Linked DNA regions of Coturnix japonica. The protein of the gene in region 2 binds, or shares a complex with, the protein of the main gene of each other region. Links are inferred from orthologs where the notes say so. Each region holds a gene or a part of one and is shown on either strand. Other genes may lie near its edges.

Region 1 (3,655 bases), on a different chromosome or scaffold from region 2:
TTTAGAAGTGTTAAGTTACACTTCTTGTTAAGCAGAAAAACAATAATGATAATGCTTGTCAATTTCCGTTTTTTCTAAAAAAAAAGTATTTTTAATCAACCTATTGCCATCTCATTTATTTTTTTTTTACATTATTCTCCAGTAATACTGATGATTTGGGTCTTAGGTTTGGCAATTGCTGCTTTATAGCTCAATTGTATTAACATCCTAACCGAGTCAGATAAAAGCATATTGCCTACAAACTTTTCCACATAGTATGAACTACATAAAAAGCTCTCTTCCATATAGTGTTAAAGTGGTTATGTAGTGTTGCCTGTACAGCTGTAGCAAGCTTCTTGCCTTTCATCCTATACATCATAATATCTCAAGATGAAAGACTGTTTAAAATGAACATTATAATAACATGTTCAGCCACATAGCTGCACTTTACAGCACTGACCTCTAGGTATGTACTAAACAGTACAAAAAAAATAACGGATACCAAGTGCTAGTTTTGAACTGGCAAGTAATTCTGACTGGCATGTCAATGTCAAGGCAGACAGAAAGATCTAGAGTTCCAACGACCAAACCACAATGGATTTTTCTAGTGTAACTGCCTAGGAATTGGAGAAGTTAACAGAAACAAAGGCCGCTGTATAGCTAGAGTACAGGAGAGGCCCATGTGAAATAAAAGCAAAAAGGAAGTAAGGAAGCAAACAGATGGAGCACACAACAGGAGAGCAGCGAGTGAAGTACAGCAAGCAGAAGTTCCGTAATACTGAAAAACAAGTAGTTCAGGGAGAGGCTGGTCAATAAAGATGTTCAGTCAGGGGCTTTTTTCTTCTACCTTGTACCCAGGAACTGATTTGGATAATACAGAACGTTTGGAACCATCTTTTCTTGGAGTAGCACTTTTGTCTCTTGTTTTTTGTCTTCCCTGAAAAGAATCCTCCTGGTTGTCTGTGGCGCAATCACCTTCAGATACATTGCCAGACGAATTGTCCTATAATGAAAATACCATAGCTATATTTTTTACTTTTTTGGATAGGCAGACAAGTCTTTTGTATGGCCCTTAGAGCCAACTAAGGTAAAAGAAGGATATATCTTTCCTTCTACAAAAGCACAGGGTACATCACGATACAGAACATCTTTTCTCATAACCTTCTTTATCTGTTTGTTTTCATGCTAAGAGACTGGCATCAGCAATAACAGTAATGCTTTTTCAGTTATCTTGATAGCATAGTGGGATACACTAGTTCTTTGAACCATTTTCCTTTGAAAGTCAGCAAGAAATCAACTATATGCAAGATGTTGTTTATATTACAAAGGGCCAGCAAAAGTTAAAAGTGCCCTGGCCATGCATTTAAAGTGTATTACCAAACAGCACTATCTCAAATTAAATATGTGAAGGTTTTTTTCTGCCACCCTCATCTCATATTTTCCACCAGGAGCACCCTAAACATTTCATGTTGATTGCAGCAGAAGAATGCCAAAGGCAAAACATGCTTCAGTGTTTAATGCAGAACCAAACATAGATTTCATGCTGCAGTTAAATATTTTTTTTGAGGAATGGGAAGGTAAGAAAAAGGGGAAGAGGTTCAAAGAAAGTGAGAGACCAACATAAGCATAACTGAGAGCAGCAGCACAAGATTGTTCTCAGAGAAGCATTAATAAAGGCCTCCAAAAAGCTCCAGCAGAAAACAATACAATCAATCACATTTCTTGCACTAAAAACTGAAAGGCCATGTAACAATGGTGCTTTACAGTAATAGGCACTCTGTGCAGAGTAATCCGCCTATGCCCCAGAACCTAAAATCCAAACAACAGACATAGGACAAAAGGAGGAGTATAACAGAAAAGCAAAGCTAACTACATGGTAAAAAGAATGCAGGTTTCACAGCTGATGGGTGTTTTCTATTTATTTATTTATTTTAATTGTGGCAGGGCTATTTAGGATAAGTCCACTAAAACACAATAGATCAGGGAAACTGCTACCTTACTCCAACAATTGAGAGGGGATAAAAGGAAAAGGCATATCATAGGACTCAACAGGGAGAATGGTAGGCAGCTCAGGACTCAGGAAGAGACTTGAGAACTGCCTTCTTTTGCGTTCAACAGATATTTTGCTCAATGATTACTAAAGAAGCCCTGCTCTATACCAAACTCACTTCATAAGAATCTCCTTCATCTTTCACACAGAAGCACATTTTCCTTTCTGTGCTCTCTCATCAAAAGCCATCTGAACTTCTGTGGAAAATGAAAGGATAATCTCCTCAGTCCAATTACTTTTCTTTGCCATTAAATAAAAGTGGAAGCCAATAGAAATGGGAACTAGTAAGAGGTGATTAAAGACCAACTATTAAAACAAATAAACAAACAAAAAAGCTCCACAACCTGGACTATGATTAAATCAAATTTTTGTGTTGAAATGTAACATGCTAAGTTTACTTTCTCTTTCCCCAGAATAGAAGCAAAAAGGGCATATTAACACTACCACTCGCTAGTCTACAAGCTGACCCCTTCCATTCTTCTTTAGTTACGAGTATTTTGTGAATATTTAACAATATATATTCCTATGGAGAAATTTCACTTTTTACCTTCTATCAATTGCCCACTATACCATTTTAGTCAGCTGAACTAGAAATTGTTAAATGCATCTGTGAATCTGAGAATTAGGGCTCAATTTCTACAAAATGGTCAGTACCAATACAACAACAACACCAAAATGATAATTATTTAGTCGTACCCAGATAGCTCATCTGAAGCACAACTGTTTAACACTACCAAGGTAGGTATGTGAAACTTTTGCTTATATTCTAGTAACAATTAATTTGAAGTTTGCTTAAGTAAAAAGAACACATACACCTACTAAAGATGTATCAAAAAGCAACAATAAAACTGCCTTCAACCTTTCCTTTAAGCTGCAGCAATAAAATAACTGTTTCTGTATTTAATGCTTCCTGCTTCTACTTCACAGGGAAACAAAGTAAGCAAGACTAATAAGTCCTTTCCTTTAGTAATAGGATACATTCTATGAAACTAAAATAGCAAAAACATGCTGCGAACTGAACTGAAATTCACTCCTCTCAGAAATGCCAGCAGACAGATCTATCACCTGAGGAAAAGGCTATAAGGAAGGTTCTTCAAAACTTATTTAGAAAGAAGAAAAAAAGGGCCTGATATTCCAGAGATTTGTTTGACTTACTTTAAAAACAGAGTAAAATGGAAAGTTGAAGAGAAATGTTATAAAATAAAGAGAAGTACTAAAAAGGTGGGTATTCTGAGTTTACAATTCTACTTCATTTTGCAAAAGTTAAAAGATTGTAATAGGAAATTACTGAAACTAAAAAAAAAAAAAAAAAAAAAAGCAAATAGAAAGGATTATTTTTGTTGTTGAAGAATACTTTCAATGTGTCTCACCGAATTGCCTTTGGTTTTCCGTTTCTCGTCACCTCGCCCTTCCTCTGCATCATCTGAATCCCCGTCACTGTCTAATGCAGGCAGCTCTGGATCCAAAGGGGGTTCGTAAAGAGCTGTGTTTAATGGTAAGTAACGAAGTTCATCTGGAGAATATCTGAAGGTAGTAAAATAAATAAATGAATGCCTGTGCGCTTTATGCGTAGATATTACTCACAAAATATGTATGAGAATTAGAGAGAAAGAGTAAGAAATGTAA
Region 2 (3,655 bases):
AGCATCACACATTCCCTAAATCCATCCCACCACGTGTCATCACATCCCCACTGCAGCCACTCAGCACATCAGATCGAGTGCTGCGTCCTGCAGCCACGTGAAAGGTTTCTACTCATTCTCCTTCACTCCCTGGTAGATTTCTGTAGTCCTATTAGGAATAGCTGAGAGCTCTGGAACACCACGGAGGGGCAGAGCAGTGGGGCAGGCAGGGAAAGCCAACCCCTCCCATTGCTCAGCCAACAGGAGGAAGGATGGGCATTATTTGAGATGACTATTTTAGGTACCATTTGCTCTTTGGAACTGCACCACACAGATATTTGCCCAAAGCCGCCCCGAGGATTTAATTGGACCAAGCTGCCTCGTTACAGCTGCATTACTTACGCTTGAACTGATATTCTCTCTGTACTGATTAATTCATAGGTTAAATCCACAAAGAATGAGGAACATTAATAATTGAAACTCGCATTAAATACATTTGCAATCTCAAGGCTTTGTTTGTTTTCCTAAAAGAAAAATGAATATGCTGCCTGGATTACTTCATGAGGTGGCTGCTTGCTGTGTGTGAGGCACCAGCATTTCCTATCAGGAACAGGAGTAAAAGAAGGCAGCACATTGAGATTAGCCCTGCCAGAACAGCACATCCTCACTGTTCTCCCCCATAAGCAAAGTCCTTCCCCAGGCCGAATGGAGCAGTGTGCAGACTGACAGCCACACCTGGAATGAATTAACGTGCTGGATGCAAGGGCTACCAAATTAAAAGCTTCCTTTATTAAGAGGCAGAGCACAGGAAAACAATCTGCGTGTTAAATAATTCAACTTCCAGAGCGGCTGTTTGCAGCTCCCTGTAACATGTTATGGCTTATTGGAGAGCCTGGAAAGATCAAGAGAACTTCTCCATGTTCTTACATGCAGATAAACCATTCCTTGAAGGGCACAGTGTGCTGCTAACTGCTGCTCAATGCAAAGACCTCCCTGCATTGCAAGACCTGCTCTCGACTCTGTGCAAACATATCTAAGCATTTAATTCCTGGGCTGTAGCTACAATCAGATAGAAGTGAACCTTAAAGAACATAATGTCCCCTCAGTACAAGATGCTTCCACTCTATCTGTGTAGCAGCAGCGCTCTGGTAGAGATGACGGACAAAGAAAGAGATACAGCTTCAAGGGAGAGCCCCAGCCTTTTACCAGCTCCAAAGGCACAGCAGCAGCAGGCAGCCTCGTGCACACACAGCTCCACCACCCATCCCTCCAGCTACGTCTGCCGGGTCTCAGAACTGCAGCAAAAAGGATGTTGTTGCCATCTGCCCCGACTTCAAAAGAACCCACTAAACCTCCGTGTCCATTTTCCTTACTGTATAAAATCCTACATGGTTTTGTCTCCTGGCCTTACATTTTCCCCCAGGAACTTACTTCTAACAGCAGCAGCGTCTCCTGCTCCGTCCATTCTCTTCCAGCACTGGCACCTTTACTCTATAAAAGATGAGGAAAACACAATTGTATTCATGACTGGGATTCCTCCAGCCCAAGTGCCAGACATTGCACTTTGCTGACAGATCCTGAGTTCTATACTCAAGATTCTGCTGAAAGATTCTTGGTTCTGTACTGAATTATTTGACACCTGGCTGACTTCGAAGCATTCAATTAAAATATCAAATAAGGATAACACAAATTCAGTGTCTGTAGACTGACAGCACTGAGTAGTTTGGGACAGGCACGTGGTCCTCTCCTTCAAAACTGTTTACCCAACATGAATACAGCGAGGCATCTCAGTGTCCTCCAGTGAGAACTGAAGTGGGAATCTGAGAGTAACGAGTCATTTCACTGTCATCTGGAGGAGGACAACTGATAGAACCCACTTAATAGAAGCCACAGGGGAACAGAAATCCAAACGCACTTACCTTTGCTAAGGTCTTTTTTGAGTAAATATCTGTGCGCAGCCCAAAGTTCTGCAGGTCAGTGGGTTTCTCTTTGTTCTTCTCAGGAAAACTCAGCATCTGCTGAGCAGCTGGGATCTGTGAGCAAACATGAAAGGAAGGACGGAGTGTCAGGAGCTGAAAGGGATCCCCCAAGTTTACAGACAAAGGTTGAGCACAACACAGAACCAACAAAACAGCTCAACATGATGAGTTATGGAGATGTCTTTACACAGCATCAGTGCGGATCTGATTCAGGAGAGGAGGCTCCACGGAGACCTCACTGCAGCCTTCCAGTACTTGAAGGGAGTGTATAAACAGGAGGGGGAATGGCTTTTTGTGAGGGTGGGCAGCGATAAGACAAGGAGGAATGGTTTTAAACTGAGACAGGGGAGGTTTAGGTTGGATCTTAGGAGGAAGCTTTTCACCCAGAGGGTGGTGATGCACTGGAACAGGTTGCCCAAGGAGGCTGTGGATGCCCCATCCCTGCAGGCATTCAAGGCCAGGCTGGATGTGGCTCTGGGCAGCCTGGGCTGCTGGTTGCTGACCCTGCACACAGCAGGGGGTTGGAATGCGATGAGCACTGTGGGCCTTTTCAGCCCAGGCCAGTCTATGATATGATACGATATGACTCAACTGACCCATTCTGAACTCATGAACACCTTCCATGAGCAACATGTGCAGACTCTCCTGCACGACACTGACCAGAGCTGCCACCTCCCACCCCCAGGGCACTGCAGGGCTCACCTGTGGGGTACGGATGTGCAGAGGCATGAGGCCGGAGGGTGTATCGGCCAGCACGTTGAAGTGAGGGGTGGGAGGAGGGCCCATGGCCATGGGGCGGCTCTCCGGGTCCACCTGGTAGTTGATGAGACCCCACTGCTCCAGAAAAGCGTGCACTCTGAAACAACAGGACAAACCCACATCTTAAGAAACAAAGCAAGACTGCAAAGACAGCCAAGGAATGGTTGGTTTTGGATCAGATTGGCTCATCACCTCCTACAGACCTTCACTGATCACAAGAGCAATAAATATGGCATACTGTGTGGACTTGATTACCTCTCCAGCATGACACCTAGCATATAGCACGGGAACAGAACAACAGGAAATCTATTTAAAGATGAAGTAAAGCTCAGGCTGCATATGTGGAGCCATCTGCAGACATCATACCAATGTGAGGGCTGCACAACCCCTTTCTTCTCTCACCCACCTGTAGCTGTTCATATTGGATCTACCATCAGCAAGTTCTGAGATTTCAGGGCTCTGCTGCACCTCACAACTTAAATCTGGTGAAACACAGCAAACCAACCAAACTGAACTGCAGACCCAGGAACTCTGAAATGAACTCCACACGCTTAATAAAGAGCAGACACTAAAGGTTAAGACCCCAACTCTGTAGGTTCACCGAGCACCCAGAACTCCATAAATAAAGGACAGTATAACATACTCTGGTTACAAGAGGAGGCTGAACAGACTGCTAAAGTGACAGCACAATGGCTACTGGATGGATGGGCCAGGCTGGATGGGCTCTGAGCAACTTGAGCCAGCTGTAGTGCCCCTGTTCAGTGCAGGGGAACTGGACTAGATGACCTTAAATGGCCTCTTCAAACTCAATTGATTCCGCTACCCACACCTATCCTGCCTACCAGAGCATTTCCATTACCAAAGCCGCGCTATTTCCTTTTCTTCTAATGCAAGCACTGGCTGAAAGATGGATGTTCCCTCACCTCATGACAGCACAC

Evidence for each region. Proteins that work in one complex are often made in the same cells at the same time.
Region 1: SMARCC1 (region 2) and PHF10 share a complex: the UniProt entries of both Homo sapiens proteins name them as parts of the neural progenitors-specific chromatin remodeling complex. The link is inferred for Coturnix japonica from reciprocal best matches to the Homo sapiens genes SMARCC1 and PHF10.

What each region holds. Positions count from the first base shown.
Region 1 is NC_029518.1:36,963,948-36,967,602, reverse strand, and holds part of PHF10 (PHD finger protein 10), read right to left. Parts: intron 3,554-3,655; coding exon 3,400-3,553; intron 983-3,399; coding exon 827-982; intron 1-826. UniProt on the Homo sapiens protein: Involved in transcription activity regulation by chromatin remodeling. Belongs to the neural progenitors-specific chromatin remodeling complex (npBAF complex) and is required for the proliferation of neural progenitors.
Region 2 is NC_029517.1:723,688-727,342, reverse strand, and holds part of SMARCC1 (SWI/SNF complex subunit SMARCC1), read right to left. Parts: coding exon 3,641-3,655; intron 2,815-3,640; coding exon 2,661-2,814; intron 2,013-2,660; coding exon 1,899-2,012; intron 1,471-1,898; coding exon 1,411-1,470; intron 1-1,410. UniProt on the Homo sapiens protein: Involved in transcriptional activation and repression of select genes by chromatin remodeling (alteration of DNA-nucleosome topology).